Diceros bicornis minor: one gene and its partners. The protein of the gene in region 1 purifies or fractionates together with the protein of each later gene. This does not show direct contact. Links are inferred from orthologs where the notes say so. Each region holds a gene or a part of one and is shown in the gene's direction. Other genes may lie near its edges. The genes, in order: NCK1, WIPF1, TNIK and PAK1.

Region 1 (7,831 bases):
TTATTAAACAATTGTTATTGAGCTATCTTAGCTCCAAATTCACCCTTCTTTACTTTCCTCCATGATGCCATGGCTCATACCCTGCAAACTACATTTTTCCTATGCCAGCTGGTGTCTCACTAGGTTCCACCAATAAAGGGCATTAGAGAGAGACTGGAAGACAGGAGAAGGGGAGAAAGGACTTCCTCCCTTCTGTTTGCTTGCAGTTTCTGTCATTGTTACCCCATCAATACGCAATAGCCCTTTGCTCCAGCAGCAGCAACTGATCTCAGCCTTGAGCTTCTTTTGGCACTCCTCCACCTCCCAAACCAGCGTCATCATTCCCCTGTCAGTAGCAGTAGGACCAGCTGGACAGCAGCCTCTTAGGGATCTGAGCTACAGCTCAGCTGGGTCATTCCTCTGAGCTTCTGACACCTGATAGTCCAACTTTGATTCCTCTTTTTCACTAAGCCTTAGGGCGGCAGCTGCTCTCTACAGTTATTACCTCTGGGCTACTTCAGTGTTCCCTTTCTGCTTTTTCAGTCCATCAATACCCAATACTAAATTCTCTCTGTTGTAATATCTTGTGATTTCTGTTTTCTTGACTAATATGTCTCCAAACCTTCCCCAAAGGAACCCACAGTCATTAGTAGGGTGTCTGTGCTTTTGTGAAAATATTAACATTCAGATTTTCTAGGAATTATTAGACACTGGCTTTCCATAGAAATTATCCAGATTGAAGCACAGAAAGAAAAAGGTTTGAAAAAAAATGAACACAGCCTGGAATGACCTGTACTAAGGACTAAGAAGTCTAGCATAAGTGTAGTCTTAGAAAAGGAGAGAGAGAGAGAATGGGGCAGAAAAGAGTATTTGAAGAAATATTGGCCAAAAGTTTTCTAAATTGATAAAAGGAAACAACAACAACCAGCAATTGACAGATCTAGGGAAATACGTGAAACCAAGCAGGATATATGCACAGAAAACTACACCTAGAAACATAGTGTAACTGCTGATAAAGAAACAAAATCTTAAAAGCAGCCAGAGAAAAAGATACATGAATACAGGAAAACAACGATATGAATTGTAGCTGGCTTCTCATCAGAAACAAGAGAATGACATTTTAAAGTGCTGCAAGAAAACCCTTTGATGGTTTCTCATTGCCTGTAGGATAAAGTCTAAGGTCCTTAACTTCCACAACCCGCTATTGCTCACATTTCTCATCATCTTCTGCTCCAGCAGTGTTCTACTGTTGTGTAATACCTTTTTTTTTTTAAAGATTTTCTTTATTTATTTTTTTCCCCCCAAAGCCCCAGTAGATAGTTGTATGTCATAGCTGCACATCCTTCTAGTTGCTGTACGTGGGACGCGGCCTCAGTGTGGCCAGAGAAGCAGTGTGTCCGTGCTCGCCCGGGATCCGAACCTGGGCCGCCAGCAGCGGAGTGCGCACACTTAACCGCTAAGCCACGGGGCCGGCCCTGTAATAGCTTTTTTATCAGGCCCCTCTATGTGGAAAACCCTTTTCTTCTTTGCCCACCTAATTGCTAGACTAGCCTGATCACACAACTCCTTTCCCCCTGTGGCTTAATTTCCCCTGTACATATCTATTGCTGTATTTACTACATTAATAATAAGTATCTGTTCAAATCTCATTCTCTTTTTTTTTTTCTTTTGTAAGGAGATCAGCCCTGTGCTAACATCTGCCAATCCTCCTCTTTTTTTTGCTGAGGAAGACTGGCCCTGGGCTAACATCCGCGCCCATCTTCCTCCACTTTATATGGGACACCGTCACAGCATGGCTTGCCAAGCTGTGCGTGGGTGCGTGCCCGGGATCCGAACCAACGAACCCCGGGCCGCTGCAGCGGAGTGCGCTCACTTAACCGCTTGAGCCACCTGGCCGGCCCCCAAATCTCATTCTCTGACACTGAATTGAGCTTCTTTAAATTTGAGATGGATCTTTAGATCTCCAGTATCTATCATAATGCCTTCCATAAAGTAGACTCTTAATAAATTTTTGTTGAATGCCCAGAAAATTACAACAATATTCAATGCAGAAATTAAATTTAGTTACCAGGGTCCACTAATTTCTATACATCATGATCAAGCCTGTGATTAGTTACTTCTTGCTGTTTAGTAGGTAGGGCTTTTTTTTTTTTTGTCCTAAACAGTCCTGCTTGACAGTGATGCTAAACTAGATCATTCTAATCATTTCTATCATAACTAACTATCACAACTATCATAACTTAATGACAGTTAGAAATGATACCATAAGCTATCAAGTTTCCTGGGAAAGGCCTTGAGACATGGAGGCTCATTTTTCCCTTTCTTGTCTTCCCAAATCCTTTCCTTTGGGATTAATAAAGTAAGCCGCCTGCATGTTTTTATCCTAGACAGATTAGCTTCTCATATCCAAAGCCACATTTCCAGTCCATAGGTCATAAGTTTTGACCTAAATTTTGTTCTTGCCTGATTCTGGCTAGACCCTGGTCTACTCAGCACTAATTAAGAGAAGTGATTCCTGTTTTTGGTTTGAGTTCCTCAAAAAGAGAGGAAGCAGCAGCCTCGTGTGTGTTTACGTTTGAAAGTTGGGGAGACAGTGTGTGCAAGAAAGTGTCTGGAAAAACTTCCACCCCATAAGATAAGAACATGGACTCCATTCCTTCTAAGTACCCTATACTGCAATTTCACACGACTTTCTGCCTCTCTGCCCTTCCACCCAATGCTTTCCTCTTTCGTTGCTGTTTCCTTTTTTCCTTCTTTTATTCCTCCTCTTTTTCATCTATTTTTTGAGTTTTTCTTTTTTTTTAAGAGTTCCTGGTAAGAATGGGTGATGAGAAAACTTAAAAGAAAGAAAACTAAAAGGAAAAAGCATGTTTACAGGGAACTAAAACCCTTGTATGAAAAAGCTCTCTCCCTTACTTCTATTGCTTGAATAGGTGGCACACAAGGGTCAAGAGATTTGGATAAAAATCTTGTGAAGGGTCTGTTTAGATCATCGGCCCCTTCAAAATACATATTCCCTTACAAAATAAAAGCTAAACTTACGACTTCAGCATATTTTTTCTGGGTTTATTTTCCACACTTAAGATGGTGGTATAAGCTACCTGATAGCAAGGACTACTTTACCTGTTGTATTTGTATTCACTCCCCCTGCCCCCATCAAGTTAAATATGTAACTACAATTAAATTGAGCCAGGTTTTGCTAACAGTTTGCTGTGTGATTTTGGAGAAATAGTTTTAACCTCTGTACAATGGTTTCTCCAGCTTCAAGAATGAATATAATAATATCTCAATCCATAAACTTTATGTGTCAACAAATAAAACTATTTTATTAGTCAGCTCGGGCTGCCATAACAAAATACCACAGACTGGGTGGCTTAAACAACAGAAATTTAATTTCTCACGGTTCTGGAGGCTGGAAGTCCCACATCAGGGTGCCAGCATGGTCAGTTTCTGGTGAGAGCTCTCTTCCTGGCTTGCACATGGCCACCTGCCCACTGTGTCCTCTCATGACCGACATCTTCAAGTACAGTCACATTGGGGTTTAGGGCTTGAACATGAATTTTGGGAGAGGACACAATTCAGTCCATAGCAGCCATGATAACATATGCAAAGGTATTTAGATCCTTAGAATAAAGTAAAAATTCACTTATTCACTTTGGATGCTAATAATGGGATGTAGCCATGCAGTAGCTGTTGCCCAGAGTTTCACGGTCTACTTGCCCCAGCCAACTTCAGGCCAGGAAGGGGCCAGAGGTGATTTGTGCTTGATCTCATGATCCCATACGTGGCAAGCAAACCACATAGTCTATCAGCACTCAAATGAATAATTTTAAAGTGAAATGCAGAAAAGTGTGAACTCTTGGAACTTACAGTCAGGGCCAGGATTAAAGCAAGGACAGGAAAATGTATTAATGCCTTAAACAATATTTACTGACGATCTATCCTGTGCCAGGACTGGGGAAAAACTGAATACTGACACGCGTCCTGACTTAACGGAGTTTACAATCCAGGTAGGGATGCGGACAAACTATTTCAGCAGCCTGGATGGGGAAAATGCCTGTGTTCCAGGAAAGGTTCCCTAAGGAGGCCACGCCTCAGCTGAGCCACAGAGGAAGGAATGAGGCAGGTTATGGGGGCTGCAGCACCGGCGTGGAGAACCCACTTCCTGCCGAGCAGCAGGCGGCTGGGGCTAGGCCACTAGGAGTGGGCAGAGCTGGCACCGAGGGTCACTGTCCTCCTCACAAGATGACTGGAAGCTACCCACGCACCAGGACACTTCAAACCCTCTCAGACTGTTTATTTCGGTTTGTGGCTCAAATTAAGCATACGTCTTAAACATTTTTCTCTCAGGTCCTCATTTCCAGGCCTTTTGGTTTCTTTTTCGCTCCCTGCCCCTAAGAACCTTCATCTGACAAGACCTTCTTCAGGCGCAGAAACCAGGAGGAAGATCCCGGAGCGGTTGGGGCTGAAGCAGGGAAGCAGTAATTTTTGCCGTGGAGTCTCCCGCGAAGCCGAGGAGGAGGAGGACCAAAATACTCAGCGCGGAGGAAAAGAAACGCGAGTCAGTCAGACCACCCGCCTCTCACCCTCTCTTTCTCCGCCGCGCAGCCTCAGCTCGCTCCAGGCCCAGCCCAGCTCTTGATTGACAGGCGGGCCAGCCCAATCCCAGCGCGGTGCAGGCAGCTCTCGCTTCAGGGGTAGGCGGGAAGGCGGCGATAGAGCCTATCAGATTGGGCCAGGAGGGGGTTTCCTGCCCGCGACGCTCCGCCCGCGGCCTGGCGGCCAGTCGGAGCTGCAGCCCCGCCCGCCCGCCGCGGGCGCCCCGCCCCTCTCCCGAGAGCTACGCGGCGGCGGAGGGGAGGCCTCGTGCCGTAACGGCCATCGCGGTGGCCGCGGCGTCGTCCCGGTGCCCTCAGGTGAGCTGGCGCCGCCCAGGCTCGGCAGAGGGAAGGTGAGCCGGTCCTGCCGCCGGGCAGACACGCAGTGTCTCCTTCCTCCGTGCGTCCATACAGCCTGTTAACTCGCTGCGTTGCTTCCTCTTCGCCGGCGAAGTTAGCCCTGGGGGCGCCGTCTGCCGGCCCAGAGCTGAGCCGGAGGGGGCGGGGAGGCCGCTCGGCCGGGCCGGGGCGTTTGTCCCGCGGCTCTGCGCGACCTCCGGCTACAGCCCCGGGCGGCGCGGCCCCGCGGCTTCCCTGGCCGCCCCCGGAGTGTCAGGTCCGGGTGAGCGCCGGGCCGGCCGCCCCTGTGAGGCTGGGAGGTGGAGTGTGCAGCGCGCGCGTTCCCTGTTTCTTTTCCTCCCGAAAAAGTCCTGTTGCCTGTTGTGGCGTAATCCGAGGTCGGGAAGGTGGGGACGTGGGAGAGGAGGGAAGGGGCGCGCTCACCTCCAGCCGGAGAGCAGAGGAGGGAGCCGTGCCCTGGGTCGAGGGTGGACATCCTCGGGATGCGCCCTCTGCCCCTCCCCCCACCCCTCCCCACTCCCGGCGTTTCCCTGGTTCTCGGGAAAGCGGGGTTGTTTTAGTGGTGTGGACTGTAGATTTGTACGCGAGTTGCTTGGTATTGGAGCTTTTGCCTTGAATTTGTAACATGTCCGGTAAAAAAAAAAAAAATCTCGGTAGGCTGGGTTTGTAACCTTATGTGTTTTCATAAAAGTTCAATTTGCCGTTAGAAGCTCGGGAAGCTGTTCAGGGGTGAGAACCGTAACATAGGCGCTCAAATCATGTTGAACTGATGAACTGGCCACCTAAAAAGAATTCTGCCCGTTAGATTTGGTAAGGAACCATTGGAGTTAGGCAAGAATGAAGTTGAGGAGAATTTTCTAACCACTTCTTTGGTGGTGAGCAAAGAAACTCAGTGTCCGGTCAAAAGGGGTAAGTGTTGCAAGAGGTATTCATTTTTAAAAATCTTACTTTGGTAGATTTATGAAAAAACCAACCGTAGAGTTTATTAAGCACCTGGAAACCACTGTGCCTAAACCTCAGTCTGCAGCGAGGTCACAAAGTAAATGGAGAAATAATCCAAGAAGACGGTTTTGTTTGGTAGTTGTCAATAATGTTCATTTCTTAAATAGGCATCCCATTGCCAGTTTGATAGTAACGCAAGAAATATGCATTGGTTGGTTAACGGTAGTTTCATGCTATGTTGATCACAAACTCTGGGATTTTCTTATTTGGGCATATTGTGGTCTGCAGGAGTTATATAATAGTGTAAACACTGTAGTGTTCAAGACTTCTCAGCTATGCTTGTTCACGTATTAAATTTTAAATTGTTTGCCTTATTTTTCTAAGCATTATCTTTTAGTCTAGATTTTACCAGTGCTTTCAGGTCGATGTAAATAAAACTTAACACATACATAGAATGTTTTGTTAGGCATCGAGTGATACTGTATGCTGCTGGATTTGTTTTTCTTTTGGACCTTTGAGAACTTTCCTGCCAAAGCTCAAGGTAGGTTTGATGTAATTATTGTTGTCAATCACTTGTCAGGAAGACTTGATTTAAATAAATAGAGATGCAGTCCATTTTTTCGTATCATAATTTATTAAAAACTTTTACAATTTGCTCACCTTTATAATATGGAAAAATACCAAATGTTTTCTACTTACACCAGAAGACTAAATGGTTATTTATTTAGTCTGTAAGTAAAATTGGAGGGAACTCTTGAAATCACTAAGCAATTTAACAAATTCTTCGTAAGTACTTAGCTGTGCTGTTTTAGGAAGACAGCTGACAGGGCTAAAAATGGCATTTAAAGATTATTTAATTAAGGCAACGGTTCTGTCTGGATGATCTTCACTTTATTTATTTATTTATTTATTTATTTTTTTGTGAGGGAGATCAGCCCTGAGCTAACATCCATGCTAATCTTCCTCTTTTTGCTGAGGAAGACCCGCTCTGAGCTAACATCTATTGCCAATCCTCCTCCTTTTTTTTCTTTTTATCCCCAAAGCCCCAGTAGATAGTTGTATGTCATAGTTGCACATCCTTCTAGTTGCTGTATGTGGGACGCGGCCTCAGCATGGCTGGAGGAGCGTTGCGTTGGTGCGTACCAGGGATCCGAACCCAGGCCGCCAGTAGCAGAGCGCGCGCACTTAACCACGAAGCCACGGGGCCGGCCCTGGATGATCTTTACTTTAAACTAAAGATAGAATTTATAGTCTTCCCTTCAAAAGCGATTCCATATGCTGACTTTGTTTTGGTGATATTATCATGCTTTCAGTTACCGGGACACAAACCTTGGTTTTGTCTTTGACTTCCTCTATCCACATAACTTAACATTGGCCAATTTTTGTCAGCCATTTCTTGAAATTTCTTTCAGGTATCTTTTCCAGTAGCTTTTAATTGAGTTTTCTGCTTACCTTTTTTCCCTGCACAGTGTGTCCTGCCTTCTGCCTTAAAATTAAAATAATGCTTGGAACATGTCTCTCACTGTTGAACCAGTGACTGCTTCCTGTTGTCTACAGTGTGTGGTTTAGAATTCCTAGTCTTCTGACAATCTGTTCAAAACCTGTTTTTTCTAATGACAGCACTATTTCTCTGTAGAAGCTGTCCGCTCTAACCAAACCAATCTCTTGTTTAGATTTTGTATTTTTCTACCTTCATATCTGTTGCGCCTTTGAATGCCTATGCATAGCCTGCCTATTCTTTAAAAGAAGTTCTTCCCCTTTAATTACCCAAGTAGCAAATGAAGTCAGATTTTGTTGAAGTTTCATTTTTGGTCCTTCAGTGCGATCTTCCAGCTCTTTCTGTTCTCTACTTTCCTTTGAACCCATAGCCCTTACTGTTTTATCATTCCTTTGGTTTTTAATCTTATGTGGGCTTGTATCATAATATCATGGAACAGCATTGTGGGAACATT
Region 2 (7,909 bases), on another chromosome or scaffold:
ATTGGTACTCACATTTTGGAGAGCAATTTGGCAGTATCTATCAAAAAGGGCAAACCCTTCCACCCTGCAATTCTGCTTCTAGGATACTAACTTACAGAAGTACATAGGTGCATGAGCATTTGAGAGCATGAATGTTTATTGTGCATTTTTAAAAGGCTAATAACTGGAAGTAACATAAATGTTCTCTAATAGAGGATTTGGTTGAATTATAATACATCATACATATAATATACAATATATAATACATCATGAAAGACTATGTACCTATTAAATAGAATGATGTAGATTTATATTTAGGGAAATGGAAAGATAAACCTTGATGTCTATGGTAGGTAGGATTCTAAGCTGGCCCCCAAAATTTCCACTCCCTGGTGTACACACACTTTCTCCCAGTTGTTCAAGCAAGCACTAATATAGATGCTGATGTAAAGGGATTTTGCAGTTGTAATTAAGATCCCAAATCAGTCGAGTTTAAGATAGGGAAATTTCCTCAATGGAGCTCATGTAATCAGCTGAGCCCTTAAAAGGGACTGGGTTTTTCCTGGTAAAAGACAATGGAAGTGTGAGAGAGATTCAGCGTGAGAGAGATTCTCCATTGCTGAATGGAGACATGACATGAATGCAGGTGGCCTCTGGGAGCTGAGAACAGCCCCCCAGCTGACTGAGAGCAAGGGAATGGGTACCCTAGTCCTACTATCATACGGAACTTAATTCTGCCACTGACCTGAATGAGCTTGGAAGTGGATTTTTCTCCAAAGCCTCCAGAGGAGAACTCAGCTTGGCTGAAACCTTGATTTCAGCCTGTGATGCCTTGAACAGAGAATCCAGTCATGCCATATTCAGACTTCTGACCTACAGAACTGTGAAATAATAAATGGATGCTGTTTTAAGCTGCTAAATTTTTGGTAGTTTGTTATGTAGCAACAGGAAACTAATGCAATAGATTACTTAGTAGAAATAGAAAGGTAAATTACAGAAGATGTATAGTATGATCCCATTCCCCAGGCTTTCCATAAATATTTGTTGATTTAAAAAAAATAAGGATACATAGAAAAAAAACATGGAGAAGAATATACATCCTACCATTACAGTGGTTATCTCTGGAGAATGGGATTGTGGGGGATGCTTTCTACATTTATGCTATGGAACACTTGAATGGTTTAGAATTAGAACATATTTTTAGTAAGGAACGAAAATGATAAAGATTGAAAATACATAATAAATTTGCCATCCCAGACTAAGATTTAAGTTTCGTCATATCCAACTCTTACTGTTTTAAGTTTTGGAGTAAGTTGTGGCCCAAATAAGTAAAACATTCAGCATTCAAGGGGTCGGTCTTCTCAGTTCTAGAGACTGGTCAATCCACTAAATATGTACTGACCACCCATTGGGTGCCAAGCACCAGCCAGACTCCTTCCCTCCAGCAGACCCTGATTCCCTGCACCATGCCCTGGCTGTCATGGTGTTCTTATCCCACATAGCATTCCACTTCCTCCCTGCATTAATTCAGAAGAGAGAACCAAAATCATTCAAGCTACTATGGCGCCTTTAACCAGATCTACCTGAACCCCAATAATTCTCTGCAAATATAAATAGAATATTTTCTTCTTTTGCTATTTTGCACAAAGGAATCTGGACGCTAGTCAATTCAGGTCATTCATACCAGCAGAAGCTCAGAGATGGAACGAACACAGGAAGTCAAGTTAATAGACAGTATGCATAATAGAGCAAGGATGTTAGTGTCAAAATAATCTGGATTCTGAACTTCACAAGCTGAGGGATCTTGGGTGGGTTACCCAAGCTCTCCAAGTCAGTTTCCTCATCTGTAAAATGGGGACAAATATCTAACTCACCAAGTTGCTGTGATAATTAAATGAGATACTAGATGTAAAAGCCTAGTGCTTGGCATTCATTCATCAAGTGGTAATGAGGACTAAGAATGTGCCAGGTACTGTGAATACTGCGGTGAACCAGGCAGGCAGTTCCCTTCACATGCCCCTCCCCCCAAATTGGGGTTACTGTCTACAGGGGAAAGACAGGCATTAAACAAGCAATTACAATAAACAAATAATTGTGTTTTTTTTGAGGAAGATTGACCCTGCACTAACATCTATTGCCAATCTTCCTCTTTCTTTTTTTCTCCCCAAAGCTCCAGTACATAGTTGTAGAGTTATAGCTCTTCTACGTGGGACGCCGCCTCAGCATGGCTTGATGAGTGGTGAGTAGGTCCGTGCCCAGGATCCGAACCAGCGAACCCCAGGCCACTGAAGCCGAGCACGGGAACTTAACCGCTACAACATGGGGTCGGCCCCAAAGTAATTGTTATAAGAGCAGAACTTCTAAGGCACTACAGGGCTAGTTTAGAGGTCAAGGTATGTCCCAAAATGGTAGCCATGGAAATGATAAGCAAACATGTATTTAATAATATTGTGCTCTGGTAAATTTGTCTTAATTTTCCCAGTCTCAATGTCCTTCTGTCTCCCTCCCTTCCCCTATCCCAAGATCATTATAACATTTCCAGCCTAGCTTTGTCTTCAAGCAGCACTCAAGAAGCCATTTTTTCTTATTAACTCATTTATACAAAAGTGTACATGACTGCAAAGTTTTAGCATAATACCTCTGCCCGCTCCTAACTTCAGTATCTTCATTTTAAGCTATGATTTGGCATCACCCAAGGGAAGAAGGTATCTGTTGTAGAATTTTAGGCTTTGATCTTTTTTTTTAATTAAAAAAACTTTTTCAGCTTGAAATTATTTCAAATTTACAATTCAGTTGTGAAAATAGTAATAAATGTTTCCATATTTGCTTCACGCAGCTTCTTCAAATGTTAACATCTTACATAACCATAGCCCACTTAGGGAAACAAGAAAATTACCAGTGATAAAATACTATTCAGACGTTGACCTTATTGAGAGAAGTGTTGGATCTGAGAAGAGAGAGCCAGGCGCATTCTGGGCAACTGATCACTGGCCTTACTGGTGATTTAAAACAGCGGACAATTCCGAACGCCACTTAGTTCTGGCTTCCAATGATGAAATAAGGGGAGGGGGCATGCATTTTACCTTGCTGATTTTCTTTTGTGTACACTAATGCTAAAATTTACATAGATTCTTGAAAGACATAAACTCAAGAGAGTTCTTATCCCAACAACTATTTAATCAATTCCTTACAAGGTGCCAGGAGCTCTGCTGGACTTGGGGATATCAAAGGTAAGTGAGATTCCTGTTCTAGTTGTGTGCCACTACTCTACTCACCTTTAGAGGGATTATCACATTTACTCCTTACAACAAGCTAGCAGATAAAAACTATTGTTATCCCCATTTGATGGAAGCAAAAATTGAGGCTTAGAGAGCAGGTAAGAAAATCAGACAACTCCTGGGCTTCACTTCCATGCCACGCTGTGATAAGTGCTATTGATTTTTTTTTTTTAATACTTTTATTTATTTATTTCTTTTTCCCCAAAGCCCCAGTAGTTGTATGTCATAGCTGCACATCCTTCTAGTTGCTGTGTGTGGGACGTGGCCTCCGTATGGCCGGAGAAGCGGTGCGTTGGAGCGTGCCGGGGAGCCGAACCTAGGCCGCCAGCAGCGGAGCACGAGCACCCAACCGCTAAGCCACGGGCTGGCCCTGATTTGTTTTCAAGTCTAGAATAACATACTGATATATGAACTCACTTGTCTTCATTTTATACAAAACATAACATGTGCATATTACCATAGAAATCGTTTAAAAGAAAAGCAAATATATAATGAATCTTAAACAGATGGGTATGTTTCGGGACAAAAGTTTGTCAATGGGAAGAGTTTACCCATGTTACCAAATCTCTTTCCCAGAAGGGTTATTGTGTCTGTTAAGAGCATGTCAAGGTACAAGTGTGCACCTGGGAATAGCGTAGGAACAGAGACAGCCTAAAGTTAAGGATGAACAACCTCCTCAGCCTAGGACATCAGTTCTGAAGCGCATATAGTCCCACTTTTTCTGTTTTTATTCGAAGGGATACACAGCCTTGGTCTTTTAACAATACGATTAAATGGTTATTATATTGATCAAAAGTTGTTGTTCTTTTCAAACGCACACATTCTAATATCTGTGTCGTCTTAGTGTTAACTTTTCTTTGGGGCCTGGAGGTGGCGGCTTTCAGAGCTGACCAGGGCGTGGTAACAGCTCTCGCAATGGAGGAGAGCCTCAGCTTTCTCCAAACGTTTGCTGTGATCCTACCGTATTTGAGGATGTGGGTGGCTGATGGTAGAGCCATCCCCGCCAGCAGCAAAACTACTGAAAGAATCCAACCCATTGGTGGGGAGAACTGGCAGCTTTCCACGGGGAGAGCAGCACTGTTGTCCCCACACAGGGGGCGGGGAGACAGATGCGTGTGGACCTTGGGGATCTGTGGGTTTCACTCCATTTTAAAATTCATTTTTAAAATGAATTTGAATTCGAGGTGTCTCAAAGCCGGATCTTCTCTTTTGAGAACAGAGGTGAAGGTGATAGGGAAAAAGCTTTCCCTGGGGGTGCGGGAGGGGAGCCCCAGCGGCGGGAAGCTGGAGAGGACGCAGTCTTTGGGGGAAAGGGCCCTTGGTTGGACCCCCTTCCAGTTCCCGCTCCTCTGCAAAGCTTGTCCTGGACCCCACGGCCGCGTCCCCTCACTGTGCTGGGGAAGGGGACGGAGGAACACACGAGCCCCAGCCTCCTGCCCACCGCACTCCCGCCGCCTCCTCGGGGGGACCCGGGGCTGTGGGGCGCAGAGGCTCAGGACAGGCAGGGCGGGCGCGGCGCCCGGAGGAGACGGCGGCGGGCCGGCGGCGGCCTCGCGGCGCGTCCACATGTGGCGGGGCCGCAGGGGGGGGACGGGGAGCCGAGGGGGAGGGTTTACATCTCAGCGAAGTTCCCGGATGGTCGCAGCCTCCCGGCGCTGAGCGCTTTTCCTGCCCGGCCGGCTCAGCCCTACGGACCAGGGAGAAGTTTCCCCAAAAATGCCCTGCGCGCCGCGGGGCCCTGGAGCCGCCCGGAGCCGCTGCGCGGTAAGGGACGCGCTGCCGCCGCCGCCTCGGGCGCCACCCGGTTCCGGGGTCTCAGGGCAGCGCCCATGAGGAGCCCCGCGGCCGCCCGGGACGCCAGGGAGGGGCCGGGCTCGACGCCGGGGCTCAGAAGCGCCCTTGGCACCGGGTGGGCGCGGGGCGGGTGAGGCGGGCGGGGCGGCCCGGGACGTCGGGGCGCGCGGCCTCGGGAGGGGCGCAGCTCGGGGCGCCGCGGCCCGCGCGTCCTGCGGGTCCGGCGGTTGCTCAGGGAGGAGGGGGCCGCGGGCGGTGGGGCTCCGGACGCGGGCGCCCCCCGGGCTGGGCGCCTTCCTGGGCTCCGCCGGCCCCGGGGCCGCCCGAGGGGCTCGGGACCCGCTCCCGCCGCAGTTCCCCGCGGCCCGGGCTTCGCGGGGATGCTCTGGGGGCGCAGCTACACCCCCAGCTCGGGCGGATGGACTCTCGGGCATCCCCGGGCCAGTTCGTGCGCTGGAACCGCCTCGCCTTCTTCGCTGAGGGCATCGTGCCCATCCCGCAGCTCGGCTCCCAAACTAGCCTCCGGCCGGGTGCTCGCTCTGGGTTGGGTGTAGACGCGCGCCTTAGGTTTGCGTTGACCTTAGAGGCACTTTCAGTCCCCGTCAGCGTCTCTCCCGGGCCTCTCCCGAACTTTCCGGACAGCTTCACTTCGTCTCACTCCCCCAACCTTTTTCAATTAACATATTCTTCCTTTTTAAAAAAGTACAGTTAAAAAAAGTTGCAAATGTTAGAGAAACCAGCTGACCCAGTCGGGGCGACCCAAATCTTCAACTGGTGCTTAGACTTTGACCTCTCTGAGATTAACAAAGGGTGTGTCTGTGTGAAGAACCGGGCCTGGCTAAATCTCTGGTCCTGCTTAATCTCGGAGGAATATCCCTTCCTGGGCCAGGGGCTGCTGGCCTTATCTTAGTTCTCCAGGAAGACTCTCGAGTTGTCAGTAGTGGCTGGGTGGACTTGGTCCCTTTTTCTGAAAATTGCGTGTCACTGTTGTCCCCTGGATAGTCCCCGGACCGCACCTCCAATCCCTGGCCGCGTGTAACCCCAGACTGCAGGCGGTGCAGCAGCGGAGCCCCTGGACACAGGCCCGCCCTGGGTGGGTTTTCTTTTGCCAGTTTCTCAAGGCAATTCAGAACAATACTGTAGCTTCATTCTGAGTCGTTGGCATGTTTTTCCTCCTCAAAAATGCCTTTTTCTATTGCGGATAAAATAACTCCAGGATATTTTCTATTTCAGTTTGTAAATCGCCTTTGGACTTCTTGAGATGAGAGAACCCCAAATAGGCCATCAGCATTTTGCATCTCAGTCACTCTTTACAGTGCTCAAAATACTACCTTCTGCTCTTGCTGTCTTTACCTGCCTATCGTCCCCACAAGGTTGAGTTTCTCAGGGACCAAATCCCCAGCCACCTGTAGGACTCTATTACCTGTTGAATGGAAGTGTGCAAATTAAACTCTGCAGGTGTTACTAAAGCATTTTAATAACATCATCTTCTTCCTTGGGACCTACCCAACTTCTGCCATAACTTTGGCTTCCTGAGAAGCACATAAACTCTTTTAGGTTTGTGTGATGTAAAGCAAATGGATTTGTAAGCAAGGTAAGATCAAATTCTGGGACATTTAGAGACAATGGGATTACTTCCAGCTGGAGAGATTCAGGCCTTTTTTCATTTGTGTATTCATTTGACCAATTAAGTGTCTACTGTCTGTTCAGCCACTTACTGGTGCCCTTTGGCCTGTCAAGTGGGATAATGGAGTGTGAAACAGCAAAAAGCCTCACGTGATGGCACAAGGCATTAGAGGGACACCCAGACACCAGGCAGTGGTCGCACAAAGACACAAGAGCGATAAGAGCTACAGTGTCTTGGTGCTCTGGCCAGGAATGAGCCCCCTTTTGTGGGAAGTGTTCGTCATTGGGTCTGTGTCACTGTCTTTGGTATTTCAGGGTGCTCCTAACTATGGTTGTCATTTTAGGAACATACATGGTTTCTACAGTGCCCACCAGGAGAACAAAACTAAACAAAAGTGCCTTTTATTTGTTGCTGTACCCCCTTCATTTTTAAGTATCTGCTATTTGGGATTCTGTATCTCAGAGCCGTGGTCTTCCTGAAGCCTGCCCTCCAATGAGGTCTCTCAAGTTGCTAGTGATTTCCATACAGAGGATGCTCTGCCTCTATGTCCTAGCAATCCACGGTTCTGCCATGGTGCTGGAAGGTTTGGTGGGCTTACACCTGTGAATGGCTAGGACCCACATATGTGAGTCAGGTCACAGTTGGAATCAAGCCAGATACTCATTTGACATTGAAGTTCCCTGATGGAGTCGATGCTGTGCCCTGTGCTAGGAGTAGAAGGGGAGACCTAGCTCAGAAGGAGATGCAGTTTGCCCCTGAACGCTTACCTTCTGGTAGAGATGAGACATGGTTTCAAAGAGCAAGAATGCAAGGCAGAATGTGGTAAATAAGGTAAAAAAGGTACAGATCAAATAAAGGGAATTTAGAGGGGAGTGAAATTACTTCCAGCTGGAGGGAGTCAGTCCTTGATTAGTTTGTCCATTTGACAAATATTTGTTAAGTGTCTACTGTGTGTCAGGCACAGGAAGATTAATAAACACATTCACATTGCTTTCCACCCTCACAGCTCCAACTGAGGAACAGTTCAGGTTCCGCCTCCCTGCCACAAATGAATGCTTCCTCCCTCGGCCTCGTTGTATTGCCCAGCCCAACATTTGCTAATTGTTCCTCACCACGTAGGGATTACAGTCAGGTCAAAATAACTAACTGCCTTTTGTATACTTTGGAGTAATAAAAACTCTAGGCTCACCAAAGCCCCCAGAAAACCTTCAGTTAGCTTAGTAATGCTATT
Region 3 (7,208 bases), on another chromosome or scaffold:
ATAAAATTTATTATTTTTCATAGTTTCTGTGGGTCAGGGATTTGGGAGCAGCTTGGTTGGGTGGTTCTAGCTCAGGATCTCTCAGGAGTTTGCAGTCAGGCCAGCTGGGATCACAGTCATCTGAAGGCTCGACTGGACTGGAAGATCTACTTCAGGGAGGCTCACTCACACAGCTGGCAAGCTGCATGAATATCCACAGGACATGGTGGCTGGCTTCCCCTAGAGCAGTGGTTCTCAACTGGGGGTGATTTTGTTCTCCAGGGGACCCTTGGCAATGTCTGGAGACATTTTTGTTTGTCACAACTGGGAAGATGTTATTGGCGTCTGGTGGATAGGGACCACGGATGCTGCTAAACATCCCACACCACACAGGACAAGCCCCCACAGCATGAATTATCAGACACATGCTGAGGTTGAGAAACTCTGCCTTAGAACAAGTGAACCAAGAGAACAAGGTAAAAGCTGAATTGCCTTTTACTTCCCAGCTTTAGAAGTCGTCTGTGTTCTATGTTGGAGGGATCTACAAAGGGTTTAAATACCAAGAGGTGAGGCTCACAGGGAGCCATCTTGGAGGGTGGCTACCATAGGCAGGAAGCTTTCCCTGGCCCTCTTCTCTTCTCTTTCTTTCTTTTCTTTTTTAAGTTTTCAAAGAGGAAAATCATTCTTATAACCCCCACCAGACTTTTCTTTAGTCAGTGTTGCATGATATGCCTTTGTCTAAACTAATCATTAGGAGAGAGAATAGAATTACTGTGAGGAGTTTAGACTATTTAACATTCACTCTCCCTCTGGGGCTGGGGAGAACCCATATTCTTTAAACACGTGGAGGATAAATTCTCAAAATCAGAATTTTCCTAGTAAAGAAGAAAGAGAATGACTTTGAGTGGATAACAGTCTGCTACATTTGCTTACCATTGTCTTTTGTGTGGCACATTTTTTTCTGGATTCTTTGGTAGAATATATTTTCCAATGATAATTTAAGAGATGATCAACCATTTGAATCCTTATGTGTCTGAAAGTATGTCATTATTCTATACTCTTTCTTAAATGTTACTTTAGTTGGGTAGAGAATTCTAACAGTTCCTTTAGAATACTTTGTTCCATTATCTACTAGCATCCATTGTTGCTAATGAGGAGTAGGTGACTAGAATTTTCTTTTTATCCTTAATGCTCTGAAATTCCATCATGATGCCTTAGAGTGTAGTATTTTTTACTTATTCACTAAACAGGAGATTTTAGCCTGAAGACACTAGAACATTTTCTATCATTTCTTTAAGTATCTCCTTCCATCCATTCTCCAGATCTCCTATTAGATGAATGTTAGAACTTCTAAATTTATTCTCCATATTACTTAAAATTTTGCTCATTGCTTTATCTTTTTTCCTGCAATCTGGAAGAAAACTAGGCCCAACCTTCTAGTTTACTAATTCACCCTTCAGTTCAGCCTGAGTCAGTACAGCATGGTGATTAAGAGCCTGAGTTCAAATCCTGGCTCAGCCATTTATTACTGTGTTGTCTTAAGTAAGTTAATTAACCTTTCTATTCTTCAGTTTACTCCTCTGTAAAATGAATATGCTAATGATATTGCCTACTTTATAAGATTATAAAGATTAAATGTTAATATATGAATGCTGAGAAGAGTATTTGCAGCAAAGTATTATTATTGTTCAATCTATCTATTCATTTTTAAAATTTCAATAAATATATTCTTAATTAGTCCTCTAACTGGTTTGTTTTCATAACAACCTCATTGTTTTGTGAATGTAAGATCTTGTGTTATCCCTCTGATGATTAAAAAATATATACTATAAAATTTGTTTTTGCTCTATTAAAAATAACTTTGGGTGTTCAATCATTTGTTGATTGAAGTTGGTCTCTCTTTCATAGTAATAGATTTCTAGGGATGATTGGCAATTCTGGGTTGTCTGTGCATCTTAGTGTTTGGAAATCTGATTTGCCTATCTGTGGTGCCAATTCTAATTCTGAGTGCTTGCTCTGCCGAGGGGGGGAGGGGGGCAGGACAGCACATGGTACAGGGCAGGGGATGCAGGTAGTTTGCTTTCTGGGTGTGTGTTCCCATTTCTCCTGGCAATTGGTGAGCAGCTCCCTGGGGTGATACCCTGTCTAATAAATATTTTATTTATTTATTTTTTTTTGTGAAGAAGATCAGCCCTGAGCTAACATCCACGCTAATCCTTCTCTTTTTGCTGAGGAAGACTGGCTCTGAGCTAACATCTATTGCCAATCGTCCTCCTTTTTTTTTTTCCCCCAAAGCCCCAGTAGATAGTTGTATGTCATAGTTGCACATCCTTCTAGTTGCTGTATGTGGGACCCGGCCTCAGCATGGCCGGGGAAGCGGTGCGTCGGTGCGCGCCCGGGTCCGAACCCGGGCTACCAGTAGCGGAGCCCGGGCACTAAACCGCTAAGCCACGGGCCGGACCTGGAGTTTTAAAAATAGTTCTGTTCATAGATCTCAATATCTGATCTTAAATTATTTTCTTTCAACATTGAGACAATACATTAACCTGTCATCTAGATTAAGGATAACAAAGGGACAGAGAAGGGAAAAATAACGATGTTGATGGGAAATGATAGTTTTTAACGTCGTTTCGACATTATTGGTGGCTTACTGCACGTTACTTACAACCTCGAGCTGGATGATTTTATTAAAAACATGAGAGATGAAACCGAGCGTTTTGAATACAACACGTTTAAACGTTTGACGTTTTAATGGTAAAAGCTCCTAAACATTACTGTTGTGGCCACTAAGATGTTGGAATAATCTCAAGTTTCATGATCCACAACGCACATAAATAGATACAGTAATATTAACAAACACAGCACAGCGTATACCGAATGCTGTGTCAAAGTCTTGTAAAGCCTGGAGACGCGATGAACTGACTGCCTTGGCTTTCATTCATTCACTCAAAAGCCTTATTCTGAAGCTGATATTCACATCACACAATTAAAAAACCCGCAGAGCACTTGGCCAGAAGTAAATGCTCATCTTAACAGAGGTGCAGATAATGCTTTCAAAGCTACTGCTGTATTTGGGGGAAAGTTCAATTTTAGCGTTTCTTCGCATGTATTTCGCGTGCCCACCAGGGCTGGAGAGGAGGGGCTGTGCGGGGAGTTGGGGGAAATGACTTCACACGCTTGATAACAGAATGTCGTGTTTACCACTGTAAACGTTCAGTCTTTAAATGAGAAAGCGGGCGGAGTAAAATCGCTCTCACGCGATTTACATACATTTTACGTTCCATCTTCTTCCCCCAGCCAAACTTTCTCCATCAATCTGGGTAGGTCAGCCGCGGAAACGCTGCCTGAAGGGGAAATGCAGGGTCCTGAGGCGGCGAGTGTTGCCATACCCAGTCTTGCTTTTGGAGTTACCTGAAGCATTCAAGCTACTGCACCCAGAGAACAAGCTTCTCGTTTCTATTCGGTCGTTTCCGTGGGGAATTGCGGCACGGGCAGGTCCTGGGTGTGGCGATGCCAAGAGGGAGCTCAGATCTCCCAGCTTTCCCGCTTCTGGCAAACCTTCCCAGCTCCGAAACGGCGAGTGACCGGCCCTCGAGACCCGCCATCCGGAATCCCAGGGACCGCTGGCAGACCCGACCCAGCGGCCGCTGCACATTGCCAAAGCGCGGGGCTGGGCGCGCTGTGCGAGTGCGCTTCTCCCCCATTCGTTCCGCGGCTGGAGGCGGATCCCCTTCCCAGCACACAAGTCCTTATATGCACCGGTTGCACCAGCCCGCGTTACTCCAGCCCCACAAATAATTAATGGGGGCGGGAGGGCGTCGCTCTTTTTTTCCTCTGGATTTTTTTCAGCGCTAGAGTATTTGAACCCTGTGGAGAAACCCCCAGATGCGATTGAAGGGCCATTTTGCTCCAGCGCATGAACTGGACACACAAAAATAAAGCCCCCTTGTCCTCACGATAAGCACGGCAGAGTTCAGGGACAGCTCTTCAAATCCGGCCGGATTAGCCAGCAAAAGCCTGGGCGGAAAGGGTGCGCGCCCCTCCCCCACACACGTTGGTGCAGAGCGACCGGGTCAGGAAGCGCGGCCTCTCCCCAGTCGGAGACCACGCCTCCTCCGCCTCCCCCCCCTTTACTCCTCCCAGGAAGCGGTGATAGACAGTTCTGTGTGGTTCTCCACCCCCACCCCCCCCAGCTGAGTGGAGGAGTTGATGTGTCTCATTATAACAGCCAATGCAGCCGCCATCCACGCACAAGCAAAGAAGCATGTCCCATTTAAATACACCCACGCAGCCCCAGCGCCCTTAGCCGATCAGGGCGCGCAGCCCACACACACCGCGGCTCCGGGCTTGGAGATCCGCGCAGGTTGGGCTCCCGGACCCCGCGGACCGAGGCGCGGAGGATCGGGATCAGGCGCTGTGGGGCGGGGGTGGGCGGGGGAGGCTGGGCCCCGGGCCTCTGGCGCGACACCCGCATGAGGACGCGAGTGAGATAGACCAAGGTGGAATTTCCAAGGGAGAAGCTTCGGGGTGGTTTTGGTCCATTTCTCCGGCAAAGAAGTAGACATGGCGAGCGACTCCCCGGCCCGCAGCCTGGATGAAATCGATCTCTCGGCTCTGAGGGTGAGCACGTTTTGATTTCTTTCCAGTGGTTTGGGTCAGGGTAAATGGGCTCGGTGCGTGGACTGGGGCTGGAGCTGGTGGGCAGAGGTGGGGGAATGCGACGCGGACGGAACCTGGATTCTGGTTTTGATTCCGGGCTGTTGAGGTGCTCTTGGCTAAGCCCCCACGGCAGGGGCTGTGCGGTACGTGTCCTCCTTCGTTTGTGGCCGAGGCTCCCCCGAGGGCACGTGGAGCTTATGCCAGTTTCATCTTAGACCGGAGTAAGAGCATTAAAATGAAAAGCTCGTGTGTGTGTGTGTGTGTGTGTGTGTGTGTGTACACAAGCTCCGGGCAGTCGTCTCGTGCCAAGGCGCGAGACCCCACTGTCCCTTTCTGCAAAAAGAAGAACAGCGTGAATAAAGGCACTGGGTCCTCACGTTTTCCAGCTACCTGCAAGATGGTATTGTGAGCCTGGCTCTCCCCACGAAGCCGAACCTGACCCTCCAAGGGGACAGCTATTGCTATGCTAGTCTTGTCGATGGCAACTGCCGCCCCTTCCCCCTTTTCTGCCCTCTGCGCCCCGACTCCCTCTCAGCGCTCTCTTAAATGCCAGTCTGTCACTCACCTTTATTTATGGCTTTAACTCAGCCCTGCCTGTGCTTTCCGACTCTGTGGCTGTGACATTTCAGTTTTATGGCTGAACTTAAGCAGGTGAAAAGGATGTGTTCTCTGCCTTTCCCCAATCAGACCGGAACTCCCGAGAGTGAGTGAGTGTGAGTGTGTGTGTGAGTGTGTGTGTGTGTATTTTCCCTGTGTCTTCGGCCAGTCCTTTGTAGAGCCCTTCCCTTCCCCTCTCGGCCCCGCTGGTTTGCATTTACCTTCACGTGAATTGCCGTTTCATTGTATTGACTAAGACATCACTGGTATAGAATCCATTTTGCTGTTGTTTTGAGATGAGAATACCAGGAATCCCAGTGCAGCCCCGACGCCACCCCACCCCCACCCCTCAGTCCCAACACACTCCTTTGGGGAAGGGGGCAGATTTTTCTTGCCATTTTAATTAGATGCTGCCTGCGGGGAAGGGGGTGAGGGGTGGGGGTGGCAGCAACAACGGGGGGACTGAGAAGGATTGGACACCAATTGAAGGACGGCTTCTTCCTCTCCTGAACCAAAAATAAAATTAAAAAAAAAAAAAAAAGCCAAAGCCGCTTCATATACTTGAGGCATGGAGGGTCGGTGAGACCGAATTGATGGTGGCTCTCAACGCGGAGACAGGCGGGATGGGTGAAGCTCGGAAGTTCACACGCCCTCCCGAGGAATACATTGTTAGACTGATGCTAAATCTCGGCGCTGTGTACCTGAATCTTCAGTACTTGTGACATTGCCTCCTCATCCACGGTTATTTTAAAGACTTACCTTTATGGTCAAAGTGGTACTTTTTCTTTAGTCTCCCCAATCCCCCCTCCCTATCCCCCCCTTTTATGCTCCCCTTCCCTTTCTCCTGAATCCTTCCATCCAAGAGGTGAGTTTTCTGCAAGGCAGTCAAGGGGTTGAGAAGGAACAAGAGATGCCATTTGAAACTGGCTTTTTTGATAGTTGGGCAGCAAAAGCCCATTCATATGTTCGTACAGTAAGCCGTCTATTGCCCTGGCGCCGAAACGCCACATTCAGAACCCGCTGCCCCCTGGGCAGCTGGGGGTGGGGGTTGGTAACAGGGTGGGTGCTTGGGCCAAGTCTGTGGCTTCCTGCTTTATAGACTGTGTTCATTTGCCCTACTTTCTGCGCTGGGAGTTGCTGCCAGCGGGTTAAGCAGGTGGATAGATGGCCCAGACTTCAGGGTAGGGGAAAGTGGCAAAGGCAGGGCATGAAGTCTGAACAATGGGCAAGGCTTGTGATTTCCCTGAGCTGGAATCTCGACGTCACTCCTCTAATGGAAAGCGCTCTGATGTGATTTTTAAGTTGGGCTCAGTCAGAGGTCTCTCTCGTGGGCTTATTTTCCTGGGGAGGGTTTTCTGAGATACCGAGCACAGAGCCTGCAGGCTTGTGAGCCACCCTGAGGGCCCACCAGCTGGCCTGGAGTGCAATCCACACATGGGAGGGCTGTGATCCTGAGATCTGTGTTTTGAAAAGATATCTTTGCAGGATTCACTGACATTGCTCTTTGTGGCCTGGGCTTAGTGCTCTGCCTCTGTTATTTCTGCCTGCAGGAGGTGTGGAAAGAGAGGGCTAGAGCGAGCTCAGGAGCTGGGGAACTGCTGGCTGGAGAACTTAAATGCCCATGTGGAGATAGATGCATCCAGAGGGCTAGGGTCTGTGACCAGCCCTGTGGTGGGTGAGGTGTGCAAGCCCCGAGTGGGTTCAAAGGCCACATAGGTAATCTCCACAAATCAGAGGGCAGATCATCTCTCTGTCTTCCCAAATCAGGAGAGGTGGGCTAATCTAGATGAGAGGTCCATTTGTTCCTAAATCCTCAGTAAAGCCAGCCTGCTGAGAACCTCCTGGGGAATGCCTGACCCCTGAAATGCAGCCAAGGTCAGTGGCTTCTAGGAGAATTTGATGCAGCCTTACCAGTCCCTTGCTGTTTCGGTGGCTCTTTAGTGTACACAGTCAATGCTCTTTTTGTAAACCCT
Region 4 (7,815 bases), on another chromosome or scaffold:
AGATCTGAACAGATACTTCACAAAAGAGGATATCCAGGGGTCAGCCCAGTGGCGCAGCGGTTAAGTTCACATGTTCCGCTTCCGTGGCCTAGGGTTCACCGGTTCGGATCCTATGCTCAGACCTACTCACCGTTCATCAAGCCAGGCTGAGGTGGCGTCCCACACAGAAGAACTAGAGGGACCTACAACTAGGATATATAACCATGTACTGGGGTCTCTGGGGAGGAAAAAAAAAGAAGAAAAGAGGAGGATTGGCAACAGATGTTGCCTCAGGGCCGATCTTCCCCCCACCACCAAAAAAAGAAAGAAAATAAGTTTAAAAAAAAAAGAGGATATCCAAATGAGCAACAAACTTACAAACAGGTTTTCAACCTCATTAGTAATCAAAGGGATGAAAATTAAAATAATAATGCAAGATCACTACATACCTGCCTGAATGATTAAAATAATAAAGATTGATAATACCAAGTATTAGTGGGGATATGGAATAACTGGTGGGAGTGTAAATTGGTTCAATTATTTTGGAAAGCAGGTTTGCAATTATCTACTAAAGTTGGTTTTACAATGTGAATGTATAAATGAAACCTACTTAGTCTGTAGCAGACATCTCTGGTACTTGTTGTCACATTCCCTTAGACCACCTCTGAGTTCAGCCGCAATTGTGGTGAACAGTTCCAACTCCCCTCATGCTGCTAGTGTGTCACCTCAAATGTACACTTCACATCTTTCCTTATTCTGCCTCTGGACCTTCTCTGACATCTGTAGTCACTTGCTAGACTTGCAAACAAAGCCACAACGTCTAGGGGAGTCAACAGCCCTGGGGATAACCCTCACTCAATGAGAGATGGAAGCCAGTAGACAAAAGCTCTCATCTTCCAGGTGGTCTATTCTGGGAGGCATTCTGTATGCTTCTCTGAAGTTCTGACAGAAGTGAGAACCTCAATAACACACGCTACATTGGCTTTCCCTTTCTCTCGTCTCATTCCAGTTTCCTAGGATTGGGAAAATAAACTACCTACACCGAAATAAACTACCTACACCCAAGTATTTATCTCAGGCTCTGATTTTGGGAGACCTAAACTCAGGTAGTTGAGACCAAGAGTTATCCCAGAGTAAAGACCCTCAGGATGGGATTCTGGACTGAATCACTCACTGATCATACGGCAACAAGGACTCTATTGTTGGTGGTAAGTTGAGCAGTGATAGACCCTGACATGCTGTGCTGTCCCAACAACCAAGCTCTTCACTCGCGGTAGACTGGAAGCACAAGTGGAAGGAGAACATCAGATTATGCAGTAACTGTAGCACAGGGATTCTCAACCTTTTTAATTTAATTTAATTTTAAATATTACCCTCCTAAGGAGAGAAATTAAATTAAATTTAAAGTATCCCAGGTGGGGGGTGGTCAAATGGTATGAACTTCCAGTTGTAAGATAAATAAGGTCCTAGGGACGTAATCTACAGCATGGTGACTATAGTAAACAATATTACTTGGTATATTTGAAAGTTGCTAAGAGAGTAAATCTTCAAAGTTCTCATCACAAGAAAAAAAAATTTGTAACTATATGTGGTGATGGATGTTAACAAAATTTATGGTGATAACCATTTCACAATATATACATGTATCAAGTCATTATGTTGTACACCTAAAACTAATACAATGTTATATGTCTATTATATCTCAATAAAAAAGTACATAAAAATAAAGCATCCCTGGCCAGAGAAGTTAAATACTAAGGAATAAGATTTTGTCAAATAGGGTTGAGATTTGGAGGCCACAAACCATTGTAATATCTAAGATATTTTTTCAGTTTTCACTTCCTTTGGGGAGATGTTGCCCCCATTGAGAATGCATGCTCTAGCACTTGAATGGTATGGGGGTAATGTTAATTAATTTCGTAGCATTGGCTTGATTTTGTTAACTATCTTAAAAGCCTTGAAGAAAGAGAATTTCAGGCTCAGGTCATCCACCTGTCAATTCAGGACCAGGTATGAAAGCCAAAAGAGCTCCATGGAAGATTTTTTAAAAACTCTCTTCTCTTGAAGCTGGAAAGCAGACTATGCTGAAAATCAGGCCCAGAATGTAATAGTTAGGGTGGCAGAGATCCTTTGACTGTTCTCTTAACGCTAAAGCCAGGGTTCTTGTAGGTGGGAGTGGGACCCCGAGGCTGGGATGGAGATATTTGGGTGGATGCAACTGAGAAGCTTGCACCTCTAGCAAGTAGCCCTCTCCCACTTGTTAGGATAGTGCAGCCGCCCTTGATCTGAGACTGTTTTAGTTTCCTATTGCTGTTGTAACCAATTATCACAAATGTAGTGCTTAAAACAACACATATTCATTATTTTATAGTTCTGGGGTTCAGAAGTCCAAAATGGGTGTTACTAGGCTAAAAGGTGTTGGCAGGGCCCTGTTCCTTTCTGGAGGCTCCAAGAAAGGATCCGTTTTCTTGCCTTTTCCAGCTTTTGGAGTTGTTTTTATTCCTTAGCTGGTAGCTCTCTTCCTCTGTCTTCCAAGGGTGAGCGGAGTGCTTCTCACATTGAATCACATCTCACATCTGACCTCTTCTGTAGTCTAATCGACTTTTTCCTCACTCTTCTGCCTCCCTTTTCCACTTTTAAGGAACCTTGTGACTACATTAAATCCATCTGGATAATCCAGAATAACCCCCTCATCTCAAGATCCTTAATTTAATTACACCTGCAAAATTCCTTTTGTCATGGAAGGTAACATACTCATAGGTTCTGGGGATTAGGATGTGAACATTTTTAGGCAGCCATTATTCTGCCTACACAGAGACCATGCAAAAACAGTTTCGTTTAGAATAATTCACTGTCGGTGTAAGTTATTTAATCCCCCTTTGTCTCCATTTCCTCATCAATAAAATGGGGGAATAACAGTAGTTTATCTCAAAGGGTTGTTAGAGGTTTAAAGGAGATAGTGCTTAGAATAGTATCTGGCACATAGTAAGCACTATGTGAACATCTATTAAATACATTTTTATAACATTGATTCTTACTATGTGTCAGACACTGGGGATCCAGATAGCATGGACAGGAATATGACTTGCTTTCGAGGGGCTCAGGGAGTCAGATACACAAGTACAGTTACCACACAGTGTGCTACACGCCATAAAAGGCAGGGAAGTACTACGGATTACAGCATTGTGAAGGCTCAGAGAAACTAAGAAATATTAGTCAAATGAATAAATGAACATGACATTTGAGCTGGACTTTGTAGAATGAATGAGTGTTGGCCAATGACATAAAGAGAGAAGAGCCCAGAGAAATGAAGAACTGTGTGTTCAAAGAACATTAAGTAGTATTTCAGTGTGGCTGGAGCAAAAGATAACATGTGTGAGAGGAAGCTGGAAAGGCTGTTGTTAAGCACCAAGGTTGTACAGTGCCAAGTTAAGGAGTTTGGACTTTATCCTAAAAGCAACAAAAGCCTTTCAGAGTGTTTAAACAGTATTTAAAAGTGATCATCATCAGATTTGTGGTTTTAAAAAGCTACCCTGTATGTAAGAATGGATTGGATTTGGAGAGGCTGAAACCTGCTCCAGTTGTCCAGGAGGTAGTGAGTGAAGAGAAGGGCAAGGACTCAAGAAATATTAAGGAGACTCTACAGGATTTGGGGACTAATTTGATAAAGGTGTTGAAAGAGGAAGAATGAGGGCTATGTCCATGTTTCTGGCTTAGGGGACTGCTGGATGGTGGTCCACTCACTGAGACCAGGAAACAGCATGAGTCACAAGTTTGGTGGAAAATGGTAATAGGAATAGCCAACATTCCCAAGGGTTTAATACGTGCTAAATTGTAGTTATTACTATTAGGGAAAAACTGGGGCTTAGAGAGATCAAATTAAGGATACTCAGGTACTACTTATTATGGAGAAATTGTGGCTTGGAAAGGTTAAGGTCCTATCACTAACATTTCTACAGCTGGGATTTGAACCAAGGCAATGATTCCCTTAGCCACTAACGCTGTTTTGGACTTGTGGAATTTGAGGTACAGTCGAGTATGCAAACGACGCTGTCCACGAGGCACTCGGAAATACAGAATCTGAGCTCAGGGGAAAGGTTTGGGTTGAATGTAGCCTCAGTGGTAGGAGAAAAACGGGAAAGGGAACCCATTTATTTCAAGATAGTTCAAACCTCCATTGTCATTTCTTTGTCTCCCTGGCCCTCCCCCCGCAAAGAAAGCAAATAGTATAATAAATGTCTGCCTTTGAGGTCACAGGAGATGAGGTAGTTTTCAAATTCAGCTTTTGGCAATGACCCAGAGGATTCTGTGGTGCTTTGTAACCCGAAGACCACAAAACCAGGGGATTAGCTGTCTTTTTTGACCCTGACTACACCACCAATGCCTCCAGAAATCGTCCCCAAACCTTCCCGGGGACAGGGCACGTCAAAAAAAGCCTGCACCGGCAGACAGTACGGGGTGAGAGGCGAGACGCGGGCGCAATGACGTCACGCGGTAGCCGGGTGATTCCCCACCATCTGGCGTCATGCGCCGATGACGTCATTCAAGGCGCTCCCCATCCCCCTCGCCTGGGTCGGCCTCGCTCACGTGTCTGTCCGGTCCTCCCCGCCCCCTCCCACCTGCGGGAGGCGGGGCTGGCCGGGCTCCGCCGGCGCCGAGGCCTCGCGGGGGAGGGGCGGGGGCCGGGGGAGGGGCGGGGGCCGGGGGAGAGGAGGTCGGCCCGGGCCGGCGGCATACAATAGCGCGGGGCGGGCGGGGGAGGCGACCCGGCCCCGGCTGCATCTGGAGCCCAAGGTGCCGGCAGCACAGGAGACGCCCCTCATTGCGTCCCTCGCGCCTCCCTCACCGCTCTGCCGTCCTACTCCACAGACGCTTCCCCTCGGACTCCTGTCCCCTCTTTCACGCGCTCTCAAAACCCTTCAAAGAACCGTCTCCCCACCTCCTCCCCCAGAGTCCGCCCGCGCCCCCTCAAGGCCCCACCCCCCACCGCACCCCCTCAGCCTCGTCGCCCAGCTCCCTCCGGCCCGCCTCTCGGTCGCTGATCCCCCCTGTCCTGAGGGGACTCCCGGCACGAGCGGGGTGGGGGAGGCGTCGAGCGCGCGGCGGCGGCGGGAGGGAGAAAGTGAAGCGGCTCCCCGTGCGCTCCCTTCCCGGCTCGGCCGCCGCCACCGGCTGGAGGAGGAGGAGGAGCCGAGTAGAGCCGAGTGAGCGCGGAAGGTGAGAGCCGGCCTCCCGCCCGGTACCCCCGGCGGCCGGGCTGCCCGGCGGGGCGCGGGCGTGCTCGTGGGCGCGGGCGCGGGGTGAGGGGCCTGGGCCCATTCATTCCGCGCGCCGGGGTCGGGCGGGCGGCCGGGGGCCCCAGGTGAGGCAAGGCGGGGCTGGCCGCTCCTGTCGGACCAACAAAGGCCCCCTGCACCCCCGGCGCGGCCGCCGGGCTCAGGCGCTGGGGACCCCGGGGACCCGGGAGGGGGCAGGGGAGGGGCCGGGAGCCCCGACAGGTCCCGGGCGCGGAGCGACTCCCTCGCGAACTTTGCAGTCGTCCGGCGCTAACCCTGGGCCCCCACGGGGCAGCCGAGCACAGGGGCGTCCGACTCATTCTGCCTGGAAAACGCACCCCTGTCCGGGCCTGGGACTCACCTGGAGGGTTCAGCTCCTTGAAAAACACGACTGGATGGTGCTTGGGTTTGCAGCCCCTCCCCCACCCCGGGTACTCGGCAACTTGTGGAGTTAAAAACACAGGGAAAGGAGAATTATAGCTATTTTATGTTCCTTTTTCCATTTCAAAAGACATTATTATAGCCTTTACTGTCTTGAATATTTTAACAGCAAAAAATGCTGGGAGTGTTTTGGAAGAATACTTGAGAAGTTTTGGGTGTTGGGAGCAAAGTGCTTGTTTGTTAAACCCCTTGGATAACTGTCTTAGACTTTCCCCTCCAGAACTGTGAAAGGTGAAGGGAAGAGTTAGTACTACGGTTACCAATAAAAATTCAAATGCATTAGTCTAGCCTTTATTTTAAGAATTGTTCCTGAGAAAATTGTTTTAGTTTTTCCTCTTGTGTTTTTGGACTCTCACAACTTTGTCAGGAGAAAACAGTCAACAGTACACGGTACATAGATGCCTCATTGGTCTCACCTTGTGACTTCACCTACTTCCTGTGTGACCTTGGGCAGGTCACTTCCAGCCTTAAAGCTCCGGGGGTTTGCATTTATGCCCTAGAAACAGGCAGGTAACAAGCGCCTACTCAGCCTTCAAGACTCCACTGAAGAACCCTCTCCACCCCATATGAAGTCTTTGCTGGCATTCACCCCCAAACTACTCAGGCAAAACTGACTTCTCATTGAGGCCCTCAGAGGCCTGGTAGGGTTTCTACTACAGCACTTGTAACATTCTTTGTTCCTATTTGGGAAATCTTAAACCAGGTGCATATGAAATCCACTTCACCTCACCTAGAAACTCCACTGCTCCAAAACGGTTTTGGGAACATAAACCCAGAAACAGTCTCTGAAGCTTGTCTATAACCTTACCTATAGGGGCTCCTAGGTCTGGCTGGTAAATTTGCTTTATTCAGTCATTCATTTACCCAACATTACTGGAGTCTGGAGAGCTACTCTGTTTCAGGTCTCCTGCTAGAACTATGGGGGCTGTTCAGACATTCCTTGTCTTTATAAAGAGCTCAAAGTCTAGTGGGTGAGGTCGGCATGTAAACAATGAAGGCCTGCCCTAATCTCTGGGGGACTCCCGTTGTACAGGGAGTAGGGTGCAATAATTGAGGCTGCTGGACCTGCTTTACAAGTCTTGTCCTGGCCAAAGTGAGTCCTGCAGGGAAGGTGGTGACCTGTCTCTCATTTATAAGACAAAAAGCTTGTTCAGTTCAATTCAATATCGTTTACTAAGCACATTATGAAGCCCCGTGTTAGGCTTGGAGGAAGCAGTGCTTTCTGAAAGGCGGGCACTATGTCTCCAGAGAGATCTTTATAAAACAAAACCAATCACGTTTTTTCTTCCCACCCTTGACTAGTCATTACCTAAAGATAAGTTTTCAAACTCTTGAACATGAATAAGAAGCTCTCAGAGATCAGACTACGGCCTCCCTTTGCCCCTTTACTTTCTGTTAACTCCCCTGCCATCCTCTTTCTCATTTCTACTTTGGCACGTGCTGTTCTTTCTGTTCAGAATGCCGGCCTCCTACCCCCTACCTGTCGGTGGATAAGTGCTTGTTGGACTTCTGGGCAGCAGCACCTTAATCTCTTCTCCTATTACTTCCTTAGAATGAGTCGCTCTTCCATCCTCTGGTTCATGTATATACCACTCTTACAGCTCTCCAGCCCTCTATTGCAATTATTTGAGTTTATGCCTGTCTTTTCATTAACCTGTGAATTTCTTGAGGGCAGGATCTGTTTAGTTTTAGTGCCTAGCAAAGTTCCTAGCACTGAGTAAGTGTTTGAAATGAATGAATGAATGTATGAATGAAGAAGCAAGTCAAGACCCATGAGACAGAGGTTACCTGATCCTTTGGGTTAGAACAATAGCTCCAAGTGTTGTGCCTGCACCAGCAACATCAACATAATCTGGGAATTTGTTAGAATTGCAAATGATTTGTCCCATCCCAGACCTACAACTGAAAAACTCTGGGGTTGGTGCCCCAAAACCTCTGCTTTAACAAGCCCTCCAGGTGATTCTGATATCTGCTAAAGTTTGAGAACCACTATGTTAAAAGATCTGCTCTTGATAAGACCAGCTTCTTGCCAGGTCCCTCCCTCCCTTCTTTTTTCTCATAGCACTTACTGCTTGACATTCCATTCCATTCCATTCTATTCTATTCCATTGCATTCGTT

The links.
Region 2: the proteins of NCK1 (region 1) and WIPF1 purify together in Homo sapiens (co-immunoprecipitation; 5 studies listed by BioGRID and IntAct, with this or other methods). This does not show direct contact. The link is inferred for Diceros bicornis minor from reciprocal best matches to the Homo sapiens genes NCK1 and WIPF1.
Region 3: the proteins of NCK1 (region 1) and TNIK purify together in Homo sapiens (affinity purification with mass spectrometry; 3 studies listed by BioGRID and IntAct, with this or other methods). This does not show direct contact. The link is inferred for Diceros bicornis minor from reciprocal best matches to the Homo sapiens genes NCK1 and TNIK.
Region 4: the proteins of NCK1 (region 1) and PAK1 purify together in Homo sapiens (affinity purification with western blotting; 8 studies listed by BioGRID and IntAct, with this or other methods). This does not show direct contact. The link is inferred for Diceros bicornis minor from reciprocal best matches to the Homo sapiens genes NCK1 and PAK1.

Annotation. Positions count from the first base shown.
Region 1 is NC_080741.1:16,032,728-16,040,558, reverse strand, and holds the start of NCK1 (cytoplasmic protein NCK1), read left to right. Parts: upstream 1-4,817; 5' UTR 4,818-4,895; exon of another isoform or gene 4,896-4,930; intron 4,931-7,831. UniProt on the Homo sapiens protein: Adapter protein which associates with tyrosine-phosphorylated growth factor receptors, such as KDR and PDGFRB, or their cellular substrates. Maintains low levels of EIF2S1 phosphorylation by promoting its dephosphorylation by PP1.
Region 2 is NC_080749.1:55,574,796-55,582,704, reverse strand, and holds the start of WIPF1 (WAS/WASL-interacting protein family member 1), read left to right. Parts: upstream 1-4,909; 5' UTR 4,910-5,021; intron 5,022-7,909. UniProt on the Homo sapiens protein: Plays a role in the reorganization of the actin cytoskeleton. Contributes with NCK1 and GRB2 in the recruitment and activation of WASL.
Region 3 is NC_080754.1:50,589,133-50,596,340, forward strand, and holds the start of TNIK (TRAF2 and NCK-interacting protein kinase), read left to right. Parts: upstream 1-4,200; 5' UTR 4,201-4,542; coding exon 4,543-4,599; intron 4,600-7,208. UniProt on the Homo sapiens protein: Serine/threonine kinase that acts as an essential activator of the Wnt signaling pathway. Recruited to promoters of Wnt target genes and required to activate their expression. May act by phosphorylating TCF4/TCF7L2.
Region 4 is NC_080746.1:53,894,073-53,901,887, forward strand, and holds the start of PAK1 (serine/threonine-protein kinase PAK 1), read left to right. Parts: upstream 1-4,799; 5' UTR 4,800-5,196; intron 5,197-7,815. UniProt on the Homo sapiens protein: Protein kinase involved in intracellular signaling pathways downstream of integrins and receptor-type kinases that plays an important role in cytoskeleton dynamics, in cell adhesion, migration, proliferation, apoptosis, mitosis, and in vesicle-mediated transport processes.